Ovis aries: one gene and its partner. Each later gene encodes a partner of the first gene's protein in a complex. Links are inferred from orthologs where the notes say so. Each region holds a gene or a part of one and is shown on either strand. Other genes may lie near its edges.

The links. Proteins that work in one complex are often made in the same cells at the same time.
Region 2: the proteins of FN1 (region 1) and COL1A1 are in contact, whole or in part, in a crystal structure (PDB 3GXE), measured with the Homo sapiens proteins. The link is inferred for Ovis aries from reciprocal best matches to the Homo sapiens genes FN1 and COL1A1. Residues at the interface, in NP_997647.2 of Homo sapiens: Asp516, Gln517, Lys533, His535, Glu537, His539, Leu541, Gly549, Arg550, Gly551, Arg552, Trp553, Lys554, Cys555, Pro557, Gln560, Phe569; in NP_000079.2 of Homo sapiens: Leu261, Pro262, Gly263, Met264, Lys265, Gly266, His267, Arg268.

Annotation. Positions count from the first base shown.
Region 1 is NC_056055.1:217,389,901-217,399,888, reverse strand, and holds the start of FN1 (fibronectin), read left to right. Parts: upstream 1-121; 5' UTR 122-349; coding exon 350-500; intron 501-1,418; coding exon 1,419-1,547; intron 1,548-2,498; coding exon 2,499-2,636; intron 2,637-4,116; coding exon 4,117-4,248; intron 4,249-5,462; coding exon 5,463-5,600; intron 5,601-8,300; coding exon 8,301-8,459; intron 8,460-9,988. UniProt on the Homo sapiens protein: Fibronectins bind cell surfaces and various compounds including collagen, fibrin, heparin, DNA, and actin. Fibronectins are involved in cell adhesion, cell motility, opsonization, wound healing, and maintenance of cell shape.
Region 2 is NC_056064.1:36,187,483-36,197,019, forward strand, and holds the start of COL1A1 (collagen alpha-1(I) chain), read left to right. Parts: upstream 1-3,635; 5' UTR 3,636-3,751; coding exon 3,752-3,854; intron 3,855-5,337; coding exon 5,338-5,532; intron 5,533-5,680; coding exon 5,681-5,715; intron 5,716-5,825; coding exon 5,826-5,861; intron 5,862-5,950; coding exon 5,951-6,052; intron 6,053-6,889; coding exon 6,890-6,958; intron 6,959-7,175; coding exon 7,176-7,220; intron 7,221-7,371; coding exon 7,372-7,425; intron 7,426-7,606; coding exon 7,607-7,660; intron 7,661-8,166; coding exon 8,167-8,220; intron 8,221-8,336; coding exon 8,337-8,390; intron 8,391-8,723; coding exon 8,724-8,777; intron 8,778-8,864; coding exon 8,865-8,909; intron 8,910-9,025; coding exon 9,026-9,079; intron 9,080-9,187; coding exon 9,188-9,232; intron 9,233-9,399; coding exon 9,400-9,453; intron 9,454-9,537. UniProt on the Homo sapiens protein: Type I collagen is a member of group I collagen (fibrillar forming collagen).

The DNA of each region.
Region 1 (9,988 bases):
GCGGCTGCGGCCGGAGGAGGGTGGGAGGGGGTCCGGCCGGTCCCTCCTCCCCGGTGCCCGGGGCCTCGCGGGGGGCGGGAAGGGACCGTCCCATATAAACCCTGGTTCTCTGGGCTCGGCCGCTCGCGCCGGCTGCGCTTTGCACGGGGAAGAGGGGGACCCCTAATCGCGAGCGGGGGCGAGGGGACCTGCAGCCACAGCTTCTTTCGTCCTCTCCTTCCCTCCGTCCTCTACCCTTCCCTTTCCCCATCCTCCAGCCCTGACTCTCCAGGCGGTACTGGAAGGGGACTCCGCCCGCAGGTTGCGAAGGGAGCCAAACTTAAGTGGCAAGTTGCCTCACCGTCTCAAGATGCTCGGGGGTCCGGGGCCCGGGCTGCTGCTGCTGCTGGCCGTCCTGTCCCTGGGGACAGCGGTACCCTCCGCGGGAGCCTCGAAGAGCAGGAGACAGGCGCAGCAGATCGTTCAGCCCCAGTCCCCGCTGACTGTCAGTCAGAGCAAACGTGAGTACTGACCGTGGGCTGGAACAGGCTGCCTCAGGACCGGGCCAGAAAGCCAACCAAAGTTGTGACTGAAGTTTTGTGCGCGCGCGCGCGTGGAGTGTGTGTACTCCTACATGAGAGGGGGACATAAAAGACTGGCTTTGAGCAAGCTGGTTTTGTGGGCTTAGGTAAGATAAGGCGTTGGAAGGCGGAGCTCAGCGATGTCCAGCAGGGCTGGTACCGACTCATGTCATCCTCCTTTGAATTAACCAGAACTCGTCTTTAAAGAGAAAAATGATGCACCCCTTTAAACTTTTATTTTTGGGATTAGTGTGGTCCTTACGCTTATTTTCTTTGTTACTAAGTAATCGGTTAAATACTGTCAAAATGGGGATGAGGGGAGAGTAGCTGAATGATTATGCTGTTCCAACTTTGAATGAGATGTAATTGCTTCAAAATGCTTTCTCAGGATGCTTCTCCAAGAACAGAGATTGGAATTCCTCTTCCAGTTTCTCGAAGACACACCCTCCCTTTTCCTTGGCTAATGGAAACTGCTTAGCATTACCCTTCTTGACTTATTACCCCCAAAGAGCGCTGAAATTCCTTGCACGTTTTAAAACGTGATTCCCAGTTATCTGCTTTTCAGAATGTTTCCATTCCTGTGGTGCAGACCCCTGGCCAGATGGAAATGACATCATTGTATAACATTTAACTAAAGTCAAAAGAAAAACAAAAGGAATACCTAAATATCTACATGTACAAATGTGTGGTTAACTCGTTAGATATCTAGTTGCTTTTAATTCTTCTGATGCTTTGATGATTAACTTTTTCCCCCTTCGTTTGTTGCTTAGGCTTATCAGTTTAGTTGTGCAAGAAAATTCCATACTTTGGAAAAAGGAAGGATCCAAATTTAATGACTTTTTTCTTCATTTCTTACAGCTGGTTGTTATGACAATGGAAAGCACTATCAGATAAACCAACAGTGGGAGCGCACCTACCTGGGCAGTGCCTTGGTCTGTACCTGTTATGGAGGGAGCCGGGGCTTTAATTGTGAGAGCAAGCCTGAACGTAAGTGATGGGGAGCCTGCCTAGTTCTTAGTATCTTCTAATTATTATAGTTATTAGAATCTAATAGATAGAGAAGTAGTGCTTGTTGATTAAATTTAGGATTAGTAGTAAAATTATATATCTCATTTCCCTAATAAAATTATCTTTAACAATGTTTAATAACTGTTTATATTTGCTTTTCAAATTATATTGTTCTTTTTACTTTTCAAACAAAATAACAAATATATCCCAAAGTAGTTTCTAGGGTCTTCTTTCTGTTTTACTTTCCCAAAACATGAATGATATGTGTTCTTTTTCCCTTCAAAAAGAAAGAATTGCTTATAAAATTCTAATTTATTAGAAAGTAATTCCAAATCTTAGACTGTAAGAGTATGGGGCAGAAAGCACTTTGGGCAGTACATTGTCAAACGATTTGTCAGCTGCATTTCAACGTAAAACCACTGACCACTTCAAAGTTCTCATTCCTTTATGACCCTTGATCTATTTCTTATAAATTATGGCAACTCCTGCAGAACCACTGATGAGGCTAAAATGGAAATAGTAGGATTAACAAGGGCCAGTGCTGGGGTGGGGGTGGGAGCTCTTCAGACTGTTTATTTTTAAGTGGACCTTGGTTTGATTTTCTGAGCCAGAGAGAGGAATCTAAAGTCCTTCCTTCACAATCTAGCTGGTTCTAAGGTTGTGCTTTATAGCTTTTTTCCTAAGCGCCTGAGAATCCTTTCCAATGGAAATTCATCACCAGAAAATTAGAAAACTTGTCAAAGGTTGAAAACTGAGGCTTTGTTAGACCCTAGGGTAAAATTGAGATCTGCTACTTCAGGTTTTAAAAACTTTCCACTTGTCCCTTGCTACTCACAGAATAGAAAAGTAGGTTTTCCCTTGGATGAGAGTAGTGGAATAGAAAAGTTTTTCCCTATATAAGGTTCACATGGACTTTCCTTCTTCCCTCAGCTGAAGAGACTTGCTTTGACAAGTACACTGGGAACACCTACCGGGTGGGCGACACTTACGAGCGCCCGAAGGACTCCATGATCTGGGACTGTACCTGCATCGGGGCTGGGCGAGGGAGAATAAGCTGCACCATTGCAAGTAAGAACGGCCTCTGTCCAGGAACGCTGAGATAACACAGTGTGAACTTTTCCATTCCCATCTCTGTCATTTTCTGTTATCCATGACTGGATATTCCTAGTGTGGGGATTTATCCCAGGTGAGCAGACACCCTTCTATGGCCACACAGCTGATTCCTGTGCCTCTGAAAGGTGGCTCTGAGCACAGATGGAGGCAGTGTTCAGTCTGTTTGCATTTATGAGAGAGAGAGAGTGTGTGTGTGTGTGTGTGTGTGTGTGTGTGTGTACACATATGTCCGTAGCCTAACCAAGCAAATCTCTTGGGTTCCATCCCATTCTTAGAGGAGTTGCCCATTTTATGTTATCTGGGCATCTTCAAGCCAGATTGCTCATGTGGTGATCCGCAGTGATCGGAAAGATGGTCACGAAGAATGAATTAGCCGTTGTGTGCTCTGCTAGTCTTGTTAGCAATGTACACACTGCTTGGATCTCACAGAAACAGTCTGGTTTCTTTGTAACCAGTAGTTTATAACCAGGAAGCAGAGCTCTCTATTCCTAGGAATAATGTGGAATGAATTTTCCAAGGTACTTAGGGATCTGGACTTACTCTCAGCAATTCTAGTTTAGCTAAGTCAAACTTTCCAGTATGATTCATTGGGTTACCAATAGCTTCTATTAACACAGCACTTAGTGTTTTTTAATCCATCGTTGTATAAGTCTCTTAAAGGCTCAGTCTAAAAGACAAATCAGACTTCCCTGGCGGTCTAGTGGTAAAGACTCTGAGCTTCCACTGCAGGGGTGGAGGTTCAATCTCTGGTCAGGGAAGTAAGTGGCACCCGGCCAAAAAGCATGATGTACAGCCTTCTGGAAAAGACAAATCAGTCTCTTGTGAATAAGCCCAATCAGCCTGTCCTATATTTAATGTTAGAATTTATCCAAGATTATCGGTATATGTTAAGAGTCAGTGTTCTATAGTGTTTACATACTGTTTACACAGTGGACAGTTTAACCTTTGTATGTGCCCTTGTGTTTAACCAGATTTCCACACTTGCGATGTATACATCTATTTGCTTTCCATCAAAAAGACATTTCTATCCTAGGGTGAAGTACGGACTCTCCACATCCTGAAAGCTGGAATTCTAGGTCTAGTGTGCCTTTTGCATTGAATTAGTCTCAGCTAAACCCACTATGTGTGTGTGGAGGCCATGCCTGGCAGCCTTTCTTTTCTGCTTTAGAACTCAATTTCCTGTGATCTCTCTGGGGATCCAGGATTTATGACTCCTTTCTTTGCTATTCAGATTTCCTCTGTGGTTTCCCATTGTGCTTAAACCAGACATTCAACTGAAGGACCCCAAATGACCAGACCTGTTAACTTTTCCCCTGTCCCCGATGGGAAAGCTGCTCTCTTTGGCCAGCCAAAGGGGTTGGAATATGAGACTTTTTCTGCTTTAAAACTATTTTCTGTCCCACTGTCTGTAACATTTGCTTTTTATCTTGAACAGACCGCTGCCATGAAGGGGGGCAGTCCTACAAGATTGGTGACACCTGGAGGAGACCACACGAGACTGGTGGTTACATGTTAGAGTGTGTGTGTCTGGGTAATGGGAAAGGAGAATGGACCTGCAAGCCCATAGGTGTGTGACTTGGGGATAAATGGGGGTGGGATACACAGTCAAAATGTTGGGTTGAGTCAAAATTGACATGACAAGATACCTGTCTTCCAATAAAAAAGATAAGAGACTGAGAATTCTATTTAAAATAATGAAATGTTGTGTAATCCATAGTCTTCTTTAAGGAATCGGTTCAAATTCCCGACCATGTATAGAAGTCTTAGGGATTCCCAGGTGGCGCCCTGGTAAAGAATCCGCATGACAGTGTAGGAGATGCAAGAGATCTGGGTTCCGTTCCTGGATCTGGAAGTAGGAAACGGCAATTCAAACAGTATCCATTATCCTTGCCTGGAAAATTCTGGAAACAGAGAATGCTGGTAGACTGCATACAGTGCATGGGCTGGCAAAAAGTCGGCCATGACTGACTATACACGTATCAATAGAAGTCTTAATTTTTTTTCAAAGCTTAAGATAGAGTTGAAAGATTTAGGAAGAAGTCATTTGTTTTCTCTAAGATCTGTTCTCAGATTTCTCCTTGGTCAAGATGTAAGTTTTTTAAAGGAAAAAAAAATGAGACTTTTAACATCTTTCTTTATTGGAACGCGGCAGATAGAAACACCTCGTGTTTGTATGTGGTGTGTGTTCTATCATCTCTTGCTCATTTTTTGTCAAAAATTGCTGTTTCCTTTGGTGTCAATGTTTAGCTGAACTCTAGATAGAAATCTAAGAGTTTCTGGCTATAAATTTTATTCTGATTGATCTCTAATACAGAGGTTTTAATTTTCTTTGTGTTGCCTCTATTTTTACAGAAATCCAGATTTTAAATAGCTTTCTTGTCATTTTATGCAGGCATTCATAATTGGTCATTTTTAATTAAGATTGGAATTTTGCATATTTAGTCTCACTATGCAAGAGATTCATAGATCCACAGGAGGCACATAGATCCTTTTTGCTCAAAATACTGGTGTGAGGAACGGTGCTAGCTGAAGATGTACAACCCGTGTACTTGTTAGGAGAACAGAATTTCTGCCTGCCAACTTGGCTAGAGCTTCCTTTCACTTTGGTTACTTGCTCTGTGCTTAGTTACAGGGCGTGCCTTTCTATTTGAACAGAGTACCACTTAAAAAAATGTGGTTAGGTTTTTGCTTACACAATATACTTTAAATTACAGGGAGACAGCACAGTTTGAAATAACTTCTTTCTTTTTCTTTCTGTTTTTCCTTCCAATTTCCCCACAGCTGAGAAATGTTTTGATCAGGCTGCTGGTACTTCCTACGTTGTCGGGGAGACCTGGGAAAAGCCTTATCAGGGCTGGATGATGGTGGACTGTACTTGCCTGGGAGAAGGCAGTGGACGTATCACTTGCACCTCCAGAAGTACGTTTTAGATCTGTATGTTAAAGATGAAGTCAGGCATTGTTTTCTGGATTCCTAGAGAGAATTGTCGTATGATATCACGTACAACATCCATTCCATCAACATCCTAACCTTTGGATGTCAAGAAAAATTTTGTAACCAACTTATTCTACTTCTTCAAAGAAGACTAAATTAAAATAAAACAGCTTATTTCAGTAAGGTCTTAGGTTATCAGCTACTGAGAAAAAACTTGATGTTCATTTCAGTGCCAAATGTATCGAAGACCTGAAGATGAGTTGCCAGTGTTTCATCTAAGTGATCACTGAGATATTTTCTAAGTAGCAAGGAAATCTTTAAAATAACAGGCACATGCATCTTTGGGCATATGAGTGCTCTTGACACAGAGAGGAGCAAAGCTCTAAAGTTTTGGGTTTCCATCTATGCTTGACATTTAAGTAAGGCACATAACATTAGCAAAATTGATGAAAATAAAAGGTACTTATCCCATAGGTTAAATTATGTTTAACCCCAATTCTGAAGTCAAGGACAGTGTCTCTGTAGGTTTTTAAGTGCTGTGAAGAAGCTAAACTTTGAAAGTTTCTGAACCACTGGTATCTCTGTAGCTCCTTCTAAGATTGCCCCGAGGCCTTACTTTTTGCCTTAGGGATTCAATGCTCCTTTTTTGAAGTGTCAAACTATAAAGTTTGTGGAAGCAATACAGCTATCAACTATCAGTGTTATACGTTTAAAATCAAATTAAATATTTTGAACATGTCTTATCTAGCTGGAAGTTTTAACCATCTCATCATGTTCACCATCCAAATTTGAATTCTTTCAAACAAAAAATAATCTCTTTTAAATAGTGATAGCAATTTAAACTAAATGTTTTTGAGTATCTTGCCAGTTCTCTTACATTTAACATTTTATTATGATTATCAGACTTCCAAGACCTCGGTGGCAGTGTTTTAGTTTAAGACAAGTTAGATGTTTTACTCAAACTCTTATCTATTATTTAAAGCTCTTCTAATAACAAGTTGGGAAAAGCTTCTCAAAGAAAAGTCGTTTCTTCCATGAATTTCTTTAAGTCCCTACTTCATTCAGGATGGTGTAGGGATGCAAAAATGAACTGGACATTAGCCAACTCGTCAAAGAGAACTTAGTAAGTAGATGAGAAAGGCTTATATATATCATCTTCTACAAAGCACAGAATTAAACACTTTGAGACAGATACTGAAATAGTACTATGGAGGTTCAGGGGAAGACAACACTTGGTTGGAGATTTGGGAAAAAGTGTCACCAGCAATGCTATCTTTATTCAGACTTCTGCTGTGGTGGGAGATCAATATGTGTCTGTATTTGTCTGAACTTAACATCAACTAATTATTTTTTATCTAACCCAGTGTAGTTCTGTTTCACAAACCAATCAAATCCTTTCTATCACATTGCAGCATATGGGCAAAGCTGGATTATAATTGAAACAGTTTATTTGCCAGATAATCATAGGCTGATGGTAATTTAGTTACAAATTATCATTTTATTTTCTTGTCTGTCTAATCCCATGGACAGAGGAGCCTAGTGGGCTACAGCCCATAGGGTCACAAGAGTCAGACGTGACTAAATGAACATTAAACAAACATTATTTTATATTAATAATCTCACTTTCCCATCAAAGAGTTAACACCATGAGCAATTCAAAAGATGCCATTTTATTAGTAATGTTAAATAGGTTTGTGTTTGGTAGGGGGTGGGGTGGGACCAGGGGAGAGAATATTTTAGTCAGAGAAGTTGGTGGTGCCTTGAATTGTTTTACATAACAAATGAAAAAACAGATGCTGCTTTCTTTTAATAGCTCCTTTGGGGCGGTTGGTTGAGATCCTATGAGACCTACTTGCCTCCCTATTGTTTCTAGTTTTCTAAAGAAAATCCCTTATGATAAGGCAGGTTGTGAACAGTCATGACTCAAAGCCAGGAGAGCCAGAGGATACAGAGGGAAGACTAGAAAGCGAGGGGATGAATTTAGTCAAATAAACAATGTGAAAAAATATAATGAATGAAAGATTTAAATTTAATGAACTGAATGACTAAATGAAAATTTAATGAGTGAAAAATGGCATTCTGGCAAATAGATGAGTGGAATTAGACTACATCGTATAGCTTCCTTCACACTGTTTTAAATGCAATCACATCTTTCAGAAGTTTACCACCCATGGCACCACAGCTGAATATAAAGGTATCATCCAAAAACAGCTTACCAAACATGAAGCACTGTATTCTCCTTTTTCTTTTTTTAAACTTCTTCTTGGAGTATAGTTAACAGTATTGTGTTAGTTTGGGGGGTACAGCAAAGTGAATCAGTTTTAGATCATTTATTTAGATCATTTAGCTCAGTCGAAAGAATCTGCCTGCAATGCAGAAGACGCAGGTTCGATTCCTGGTTTGGGCAGATTGGAGAAGGGTATGGCTGTCCCCTCTATTATTCTTGCTTGGAGAATCCCATGGACAGAAGAGCCTGGCAGGCTACAGTCCTTGGGGTCGCAAGAGCTGGACGCAACTTAGCGACTAAACCACCATTACAGACTTATTACAGAGTACTGAGTGGAGTTCCCTGTGCTGTACACTAGGTCCTTATTAGAAACAACTCTATTGTTATTTTAGGTTTGCATCAAGCCCTTGCCAAGCTCAAACTGATTTACATGTTTTAATGCTTCCTTTCTGCCACAGACAGATGCAACGATCAGGACACTAGGACATCCTATAGAATTGGGGATACCTGGAGCAAGAAGGACAACCGGGGGAACCTGCTCCAATGCATCTGCACCGGCAACGGCCGTGGCGAGTGGAAGTGTGAGAGGCATACGTCCCTGCAGACCACATCTGCAGGTGAGGCACAGGGCCCTGGGGACCCAAACGGGGCACCTTGCACAAAGCATTCCGCAAAGCCATCTTTCCCTTGGTGTGCCCTTGAATGATGATGTGGCTATGAAGCTGAGTTCCTTTGCAGACTGTTAGTTAAAACTTTGTTTACTATCAAGTTTTTTAAACTTAAATAAAAATGAAACTAAAATGGATTGGTGGGGGGGCGGGGAGGACTAATTTTAGTTCCAAGAGGTTAAACTGATGGCCAAGAAAAATTACTAATATCATGGAAACCTACATGATTTATATACAAAGATATAAATAAATATATTGAGATCTGTAGATCAATACACATGTGGATATTCATATACATACCCTTGTGTGTGTATGTTGAATATCTAAAGTACATTTTAATAGAAATGAGAAACTTTTGCTGAGTTACATGATCCCTTGATTCCTCTACTGGGAAAAGTGGGGAAAAGTACATTTGTTCTTTTTCAGAATGGCATATATCTCCTTACCCTGACATTCCATTCTTTTTGTTGTGGAAACAATCCTTTATGTGTGGTTTCCATGCTCCAGCAAACTCTGTTGCATTCCGTAAAATAATGCACAGTCATTTTCTTCATGTATTGGCTTTCACATTTGAAAAATTCAGAGGAGTCCTAGACATGGGAAGGAATGACATAATATTTAAGCTTTTTTAAAAAAATAGGTTTTAATTATTTCTAGTACAAGACTAGGATCTTTGCATTATAGCTTGTCTTGTAAGAATCTAAAGAAAGAAAGAGGGCGGTCAAGAATGTGTGCTTCTGTTGTTATTCTTGCTCTGTTTTATCAAGTTTTCACTATACAGTGCACTAGCCTTATGGTTTAGTCTTTCATCTAGGTCATTTAGCAAAAAGTATTAATTACTTACTTGGATTTTCCTCCTTTTGATGAGTTTTCATCTTGCCATGAGCACTTAGGAAGGAGAACAAGATTGGACTTGATAACATTTCTTGAGTTATTTGATTACTTTCAGTAAAATTGCTGCTAACCTAAAAAAGAAACAATTACTAATCTCAGCCTACTGAAGCAGTTTAAATTAAAAAGAGTAGAGGTTAATTGGGAGTAAGCATTCAATGATTGCTATCTATTTTTATTAGTATTACTAATATTAATACTGAAATGGCTCTGTTCAAAAAAGTTTGAGAGACATGGAGTTAAACCAATAAAAACTTTCTTCTACAGGAGCTTAATATTCCTTTGCGTTGTGACCCTCCCAAGTGGGGTGTATGAAAACAGATGCCATGTTCCCCTGATATGTGTGACCTTGGGACCATTGTCTATGAAGTATTTGGGTTCCAGTGTTGCTCAGAAAGGAAAGCTGTCTTAAGGGGCCTGTCTTAGAGAGATGCTAAATTCAGTCTACCAGCATTCTAGCTTCAGTTCTAATTCTGCTCCTCCTTGGGCCTGACCCCCAAGAGAACAGATTTCTATGTTTAAAGAAAAGATCAGCATATTCTGTTGTCTTACTCTGAAATGAAAGCTGTCTTAAGAGGATTGATTGA
Region 2 (9,537 bases), on another chromosome or scaffold:
GCCCCTCCTCCCCTTCCCGACCCTGAACCCTTAGAATCTTCAAGGCTCCATCTGAGCCCTGAATCTCTCCTCCTTCCATACTTTCTCTGGAAACAGCTCCTTCCACATCATCACCCAGTGGAGGCGGGATCCCACATTTGTCTCTCCTCTAGATTCTAGACTCAGATACTAAAGGCTTCCCTCCGTGCAGCTGACTGAATGCCTCATAGGTACCTAACACTCAGCATGGACAAACTTAATCCATTATCTTCCCTCTAAACCTGGAAAAGATGAAGAGATGAAAGGAAACCTCAGACCAAGGGACTTGGGTTGAGGCTGAGGCATGGAAAGAGCGGAGCTGTGCTGTGCCTGGTTGCTAAGGACCAAAGGAACCAGACAGTATGATGCTGAAGAAAGGGAAGAAGAGAGACTCCTCCACTCCTGGGATCTGTTCCCAGACTCTGACTGCAGGGATCCTCAACAGGAACCCTGTTGGGAACATGATGGGAACCCATGATGGGAAAACACAGAGCCCAAGGTCTTCACTGCAGCCTCACTCTTAGACCTCTTCCCTTCCTCTGTCCTCAACCCCTTTGCCAGGGACCCTCTCTTCATCACCAGTCTGGGGCAGAAGAGGATTCTGGAAGGTCAGATCAGGGAAGGAGGGCAGCAAAACCTCAGCAGGACACCAGGTAGCTAGAAAGGGCTGACCAAACTGCCCACCAGGTGCACCAGCCCCCGGGCTGCTTTGCTGTTTTACCCCACACCAGCAGTCCAGAGCAGGGCTTGAGGGGCTCCTCAGGAGGACGGAGAGCGGGGAGCGCAAGCACACTGAGGAAGGGCACTTGAGGAAATTTGGAAAGGGAGCGAACTCAGAGCTCAGCACTTTCTTCCTTCTGTTTTTCTTCTTGAGGAATTTTTTTCCCTGACTGCTGATGACTTTACCATTTCTAAGGGGTCGGGGGGGGAGGAGATTTTGGCTTTTGCTCCCCCCACTCCAAATGCCAGACAAAGTCTTACATTCCACAAGAAGCCAGAGCTTCAGAGTTTCCTAAAGATGAGGTGGCGTCTCCTCCCCTCTCCGGCCTCAGCTCCCTCCCTCTTTCCTCCCCCCCACCCACAAGTCTCAAGCCCTCAGTTCTGGCCAAGGAGGCCCAGGCAGTCTGGGAGGAGACCCCAAGCACATTCTTCCTCTCATTGTCATGCTGCAGAAATTAGAGACACATCTTCGGGCTGGGCACCTGCCAAGCAGCGTTTCAAGCTGAAAAGTGGCAGAGGAGGCCCTGGGCCTCAGCTCTCTGCCACGTGTAAAGGATGCTTGGGAAACTTCTGCCTACAGCCCCTGGGATGGAGGTCTGAAACTGGACATTGGAGCAGCGGCTGTCACACACCATACTCACAAAACCAACCCCCAATACCAAGGTTCCCTAAATATTCTTCAGAACCCCAGGCTCGTGATGTAGCAACTCCCAACCTACATCTCTAAGTCTTCATCTCTCCTGTAAGGTGGTCGAGGGCCAGCCTGAACAGGGACCTAGAGGAGAGAGAACTGTAGGTAGGAGTCCTCTGGCTGCAAAAACTCAGCAAGCAGGGAGGTGGAAGGTCACAGCAACCCTCACTTCTAGCCTGTAACTCTCCTCCCCAAACAGCCACTCCAGAGGGGTGACTACTCTGAGGGGCAGGACTCCTCATTTCTCCTGTTAGGGAGGGGGTGCTCCTTGTCCCTGAGCCACGCTGGAGGGGGCAGGAACTGCCATCTCAGCACCTCAGCCCCCAGCCCTGCCCTGCACTAGCTGGCACGATGGGGGCAGATCCTGGGCCACAAGTCGCTGCCACATGGTGGGGATAATTGATGAAGGCCCATCCCTCCATTGCTGTCTCCAGCCCTGCCTCTCTGGAAACTCTATATTTTCCCTTTAATTATAGCCCCTGCAGTCTCCCTCTGCGGCCCCACCCGCACCGCTCATCCTGGCTGCCCACGGCCAGCCGGCCAGCCGACGTGGCTCCCTCCCCTTCTGTTCTCTTGGTCTTTTTTTTCCTTTGCCTTCGTTGCACAAAACCAGCTGGGGGAGGGCGTGGAGAGGGGCGGGGAGGGGGGAGGCAATGGAATCTTGGATGGTTTGGGGGAGGCGGGACTCCCCGCTTCCACGTTTGCAGCTCTGGAGTGATGGGGGTGGGGAGCCGCACAGGAGGGATTGGAGTTGACAGGGCACTGCAAAGCGACCCTCTTTGACTTCCCTTGGGCCCACAGATTTTGGCAGGATCAGGAACCTGGATAGATTGGAGTTGGGGTAGAGTACTGGTGGGAGGTTGGGACATAGAGAAGGCAGGACGCTGGCTTCTAGAGTCATCTCCTAATATAGCCTGTTGTTCTTGGGGTCTCCATCGCTTTTCAGAGTGTAGATGATTCTCTCCTGGTTCCAGGGACAAAGAGTGATGCCCTGGGTTTCCAGGAAAGAGGTGAGGCAGAGAGGAACGTCCTCTAAAATAATGTCACTCACCTGTAATTCCACCTCAGACCTCCAAGGCAAGTCTTCCCCCAGACACCCCAATTCTCATGTGTCCCCAACCCTGAATCCAGGTACAGACAGAGACAGAGCTTTATGTGGCCTCCGGAAGGAGCACCCTCTCTCTTGTCAAGTGCTCTCCAATACAGTTCTCTCCAGTTTGACTGTGCTGGGTAGAAGGGTGTCTAAACAGGCCGTGGCCATGGCCGCGACAGACCCTAACACAAGACCCTTTCTTAAGTCACCAGTGGCCACGGCCCTTCCGTGCAAACTTACTGCCCCTGGGGTGGAAAAATCCTAGCAATTTTCCACCACCACCCTGCTGCCCCATCACTCAATACCAAAGCTTCCTTCTGGAGAGACTGCATACTCAAATTTTTCACCCAGTGCCTCAGCAACCTCCCTCACCCCAACTCTTTCAATCATGCTAGGGTTTAGGGGAGAGCATTTGAGTCTATCCTGGAGCCTCAGGCATGGCAGAACTGATATCGTCAAAACAAAAACCCACCCTAAGGATCTGATTCTTAATGTCTATAAATGAATCTATCTTGTTCCCCAAATATTCCTAAGTTCCATACCCCAGCCACACCAGAAGACACCCCAAAACAGGCACATCTTTTTAAATTCTCTGGTTCTCCTGCTTTAAAGTGGTCCCCAGCTGCCTCTCCATACCCATCCCGGAGCTCTTGCTCTGGGTGTCAGAGGGCGAACAAGGCAGGGCGAGCAGGACCCTCTCCCAATTACCCCGAGTCCTTCCATCTTTGAAAGCCTCCCTAACCAGCTCCCCAATTCCAGCCCCCTGCTTGAGACTGGGGGTCCTAGAAAGAAAGCCGAAGAGGCGCCCCTACCCACTATTTAGCCGACAGTATGTGGAGGACCTAGCCGCACCCCAGCGGCAGCATCTCTGGCCCAGACTGAACTGGGGGGCTGGGGAGGCAGAGCTGCGAAGGGGGGAGATGTGCGGTGGACTCCCTTTCCTTCCCTTCCCTCCTCCTCCCCCTCTCGGTTCCGACTCCCAAATTGGGGGCCGGGCCAGGCAACTCTGATTGGCTGGGGGACGGGCAGCCGGCTCCCCCTCTCCCGGGGGCAGGGTTCCTCCCCGCTCTCCATCAGGATGGTATAAAAGGGGCCCGGGCCGGTGGTCGGAGCAGACGGGAGTTTCTCCTCGGGGTCGGAGCAGGAGGCACGCGGAGTGTGAGGCCACGCATGAGCGGACGCTAACCCCCACCCCAGCCGCAAAGAGTCTACATGTCTAGGGTCTAGACATGTTCAGCTTTGTGGACCTCCGGCTCCTGCTCCTCTTAGCGGCCACCGCCCTCCTGACGCACGGCCAAGAGGAGGGCCAGGAAGAAGGCCAAGAAGAAGACAGTAAGTCCCAAACTCTTGGGAGTGTAGGGCTGCTTGCTCTCCTGCCCTGCGCTCGGTCCCTGGGGTCTGCGACTTAAACTGAGGCTCGGGATGCTCCGGAGGCTCAGGGATGGAAGGAAGATGGTGAGGGCTCTTGGTCGGTGCCCTCTCTGCGACGGGGTGTTGATGAAGGCCCCCCAGGAGTAAGAGGGGAGGATGCTGCACGGCAAGAATTGGCGTAGGAGGAGTTCTGAGCGCGCACTGTGAAGTACAGCGGGAGAAATAGGGTCTGGGCACCGGTTTGGGGGAAAGTACGTCGAAGATGGGATGGAGGCGCCGAGTTGGGAAATTGGAGTCCAAGATGTAACAGTGATCAGGAAGGCTATGGGATGATTCATCAGGAAAGACTGTTGGCCCTCTCTGCGGGCTAGCAGTGTTCCTGGGGCCGCGGAGGTCTTGGACTGAGGGGGGAGGGGGCGCAGAGAGTGGGCGGGTTGAATGATGAGAAACTTTGGCGCGGACTTGGCCACGCAGGGTCTTTGCGCCCTCTGCTGATCTACACTGGGCAGTGCGCGTCCTTATCCAGCGCTTCCCCGCGCAGGAGCTGGAGCGGGAAGACCGGGATGGTTGCTGGGTGTGGACCCCACCTCTAGATCTGGAAAATAAAGCTGGAGATGGGATAGCCCCTGTCTCTAAAAGAAATAGCTAGTTTGGGGAAATTGCTTAGTGTCGCCCTAGTGGCCGTCTCGGTAGAAGATTGCGGTGGGCGTGGTTAACTAACCACTTACTGTTGCGGACTTTCTGGTTCTTTGACTAAGAAGTGACCCGGAGCACCGGCTGGCTTTGGGAGACGGGGGTTGTCCCTGAGCTAGGCCTTTTGAGATGTCTGGGCGCCGGAGTCGGGGCGTACCCTATTTTTACCGTACGTTTCAGGTCTCTGGGCGGGATCCCACGCCAATCAGCCCCACCCCATCCTCTTAGCCCCGCCCACGCCATCCCACCTGCCCCGGGAATGGGGCGGAATCTGGGTTGAACCTCCCATCTCTCCTCCCATTTTCCTCTGAGGTCTCCAACCAAGGTCACGCCCCGCAAGCCTGCCCTCGGGATGGGGCGCCTCTCTTCCCACTCCTCCATCCCCCGTCCCCGCCCCCACCCCCACCCAATGGCTTTTTATTTCACTTGGCTTCAGCGCCAATGGGCTGAGGTTACAGTTGGAAGCGACCCCGGCCTAAAGCTTTGTTTAAATTCCTGAGAACTGGAAAGAGTTATAGCTGTCCTGGCCAGGCGCCTCGGCGCTGTCACTGGCTCTGATGAGGAGCAGATGAGCGTTTAAGGATTTGGGGAAAGGAAAAACAAAAGGACAAAAAATGGAAAGGCGGGAAATGGAAAATCTAAATGTGCCTCTAAGACCGAAGGGAAGGGACGGTGGGGTTGGGGTGCCTGGAGCCCCGAGGTGAGGGACTCGCGCGCCGCTGACAGCCCCCATCTCCCCGTCTTGCCCCAGTCCCACCAGTCACCTGCGTACAGAACGGCCTCAGGTACCATGACCGAGACGTGTGGAAACCCGTGCCCTGCCAGATCTGCGTCTGCGACAACGGCAACGTGCTGTGCGATGACGTGATCTGCGACGAACTTAAGGACTGTCCTAACGCCAAAGTCCCCACGGACGAATGCTGCCCCGTCTGCCCCGAAGGCCAGGGTATAGCTCGGGGCCTGGGCCGGGGCGGGCGGGGGCTGGGGGATATAAGCGGGGACGCTCCTTAGCCCCTGTCAGGGGAGGCCTCTGTCTCTGGGAGCACCTGGAGCAAACCTTGCCTCTAAGTCCTGTCTCTCCCCACCCCCCCCAGAATCAACCACGGACCAAGAAACCACTGGAGTCGAGGTAATCCTCTGCCCCTTTGCCGTCGACTCTAGCCACACCCCGCCCCCCAGGACTCTTCACGGGTCGTCTCTAACCCGGTTCCTTTTGTTTCCTCTCCTGCAACCCCACAGGGACCCAAAGGAGACACTGGCCCCCGAGGCCCAAGGGTAAGCGGCGCCCTCTCGCGGCTGTCGGGGGAGGTGAGTGGGCATGGCTCCCGGCCTGCGCTCACCAGGCCTGCCCTTTCCCGCCGCAGGGACCCGCCGGCCCCCCTGGCCGAGATGGCATCCCTGGACAACCTGGACTTCCTGGACCCCCTGGACCCCCCGGACCTCCCGGACCCCCTGGCCTCGGAGGAGTAAGTGGAGAGTCGAGGCTTCTGTGGAAGGCCTTAGGAGCCAGCCCTGCCCCCCCCCCCCCCCACCCCCCCACTCCCGCTCCCGCCGCTGTTTTCGTTTGCTGGGTTTTGTTTTGTTTTGGCAGATGGCATACTTTGTTTTTTTGAAATAATGTCAAACTCATAGGGGAAGAGGGGGAGAAGAGTTGCAAGAATAATGCAAAGAAACTTTCCTATATCGTTCACAATTTGTTACATTTGCTTTATCAGTCTCCATGTACATGTAAAATTATTGGGGGGGTTTTCTCTGAACCATCTGAGAGTAATTTGCTGGTATTGTGTCCCTTTGCTCCTAAATACTTTACTGTGTATTTTCTAAGAGCTAAAACATTCTCTTACATGAGCATTACATAATGAGTACATTTTAGAAATTTAACGTTGATGTGATACTGTTATCTAATATGCAGTCCATATTCAAACCTCACCAGTGTTCTCCATAATGTCCTTTACACCATTTGTCCCCCCTGGTTCAAGATCCAGTCCAGGATTATGAATCACATTTTAATTATCATGTCTCTTCAGTTTCCTTTCACCTGGAACATTCCTCAGGCTTTCCTTGTCTTTCATGACACTGAACTGTTTTGCAAAAGCCAGTTGTTTTGTAGACTGTCTCTTAAATTGGGTTTGTTGGGTGTGTCTTCCTGATTAGATTCCAATGATACGTTTTGGGCAAGACTGTGCCACAGGTCGTGTAGCTGTACTGCATAGAGAATGTGATATCTGTCCCATAACTGGTGATATCTTCTGCCTTTCAACTCACTGCCCTGACCCTGTTTTCTCATGCACTCTCTCTTCCAGAACTTTGCTCCCCAGTTGTCTTACGGCTATGATGAGAAATCAACAGGAATTTCCGTGCCTGGTCCCATGGTGAGACATCAGCAGACGATGTAGAGGGCAGAAAAAGAGCAGACGGGCCAGTGAAGGCGCATAGGGTGACTTAGATAACTTGGGAGGTCAAGATGACTTTTGGGACCTCAGAATCCAGACAGAACATGAGGCAGGTGGGTGGGCCGAACAGGAACCATGGGAGATAAATTTTCCTACCGAGGCTTCACTCTGGCCTCTCTGTCTTTTCCTTCCATAGGGTCCTTCTGGTCCTCGTGGTCTCCCTGGCCCCCCTGGCGCACCTGTGAGTATCCAGGATGTCTACACCCCTTTGGGCTTTAGAGGGAGGATTGGCATGAGGGCAAGGAAAGTACTCAGAGATCTCTTGATGAGATGGAGGACATGTTGGCAAGGACCTGTCCTTCTAACCCTACCCCTCTCTTCTTGTCCTCCAGGGTCCCCAAGGTTTCCAAGGCCCCCCTGGTGAGCCTGGCGAGCCTGGAGCCTCAGTAAGTGACCCCTGATTTGCATTCTCTATGCAAATATACACCCCCTCTACAAATATATGGATTCTCCTATTGAAGGACCACCATCTGGAGTCTTTGTTACCTCCTTCTTCCAATCCTAGCCTTCCCCTTCTTTTCTCCTTATCCTGGTCATTCTAACATCCTCTCTTCCCGTCACCTCTAGGGTCCCATGGGTCCCCGTGGTCCCCCTGGCCCCCCTGGCAAGAACGGAGATGATGTAAGTAGCCCTGGTGAGGAGACACCATCTGACCCCCACCACCTGTCCATGTGTGGGCTCCTGCAATCTCTACCCTAGTTCCTCCACCACCTTTGGGAGTGACACCCAGAGAAAGACGGACATGTTCTCCCTGACGTACGGGACTGCCCTTGAATAGGGAGCTACCTGGGATGTTTCCCCGTCTTCCTAACAGACGTAGCTGTCCCTCCCCTCAACTCAGTCACCTTAAGTAGTCTCCAACTCTATCCTTGACATGAGCGGCTTCCCTAGGTGTAACCTCAGGTTTTCACTCCATGTGGTGAGATTAAGATGCTGGTGACAGAAATAAACAGAAATTCTTTGGAGGGAGGCAAAATTCACCAAGCGAGTGTTTCACAGTACATTTAAACTGAGATAGGATTTGGGGTCCCGAAGCCTGACTCTCAACAATCCCAAGAAAACCCAAGCCTCCCATTCTTTTCCAACTCTGGGGGCATGGGCATGATGGCCTTTTCTTTTTCTCTCAGGGTGAAGCTGGAAAGCCTGGTCGTCCTGGTGAGCGCGGGCCTCCCGGACCTCAGGTGAGCAGGATGGTGTGGCTGCCTCAGGCCTTGCTGCACTGGGGCTTCCTCTGGGAGCTGTGTCCACAGTGGAGTCTCCTAATGGCTCTGCCTTTGTCTTTTGCGTTCCTCTCCAGGGTGCTCGGGGATTGCCTGGAACAGCTGGCCTCCCTGGAATGAAGGGACACAGAGTGAGTCTCCTTTGTATCATCTAAGTTCCCAAAGTCCCAGTGTCATGTTCTAGTCCTTTCCCCAGAGGACCCTGGCATGCATCACGGTGGGTGGTAGCTACATAAGAAGTTCCAAGGGACAGAGAGTAAATGTCCAAGAGAACTTCCCTTCGTTGGGAAAGAAATCCCAATAAAGGGAGGGAGGGAGATCTTGGATCAGTTGGGGTTTAGTCTAGCTCAAACACAGGGGGATAGATGTGATGACCTCCTGAGGCTCCTTCTCTGGGCTGAGCAAGTGTCAGGGTGGTCGACAGTCTCCACAGGGTCTCACGCTGGCCCTCCCTCCTATCTTAGGGTTTCAGTGGTTTGGATGGTGCCAAGGGAGATGCTGGTCCTGCTGGCCCCAAGGTAAGATGCTGTGTGACGGACACGGTCATTCACCTCCTCCACAGTCCCACCTAGAACAGATTCCTTACTCCATTCTCTGCTCTGTAGGGTGAGCCTGGTAGCCCTGGTGAAAATGGAGCTCCTGGTCAGATGGTGAGTGTGTCCAGTTCTGGAAGGAAGGGAGGGAGCAGGCTGTAGGAGCAAGATGGGGGCTTGGGGAGAAGGGGGTGTCTTCCATCTCACTTGGCTTCTCTTGGTTTTGTTACCAGGGCCCCCGTGGTCTGCCTGGTGAGAGAGGTCGCCCTGGAGCCCCTGGCCCTGCTGTAAGTACTGGCCCTTTGGGGAACCCAGAGCTCTGGAAAGCGCTCCTTAGGAGCTAAGGGACCGAGCAGCGCTCAGTGAGTGTAACCGGGACTTCTGCTCTTCTGCAGGGTGCTCGAGGAAATGATGGTGCTACTGGTGCTGCTGGCCCCCCTGTGAGTACAGCCTTTAGACTCCGGTGCCTGGGACTGGGGCGGGGCCTCAGTGTCAGCTCTTGTGGCTGACATCAGGGCCAGGTGTCAACCCCAGGACCTCTTCTGTCCCAGGCTGTGACTTGCAGCTGCCATCTTCCTTCTTACTAACACTGCCCTTTTATTCACAGGGTCCCACTGGCCCCGCTGGTCCTCCTGGTTTCCCTGGTGCTGTGGGTGCTAAGGTGAGACCCCCACCCTCCAATGAGCAGAGCTCCCATGGGCCAAGGGGGTGGGCATTTCTTTGCTCCCGAAACCTGAAGGGCCCA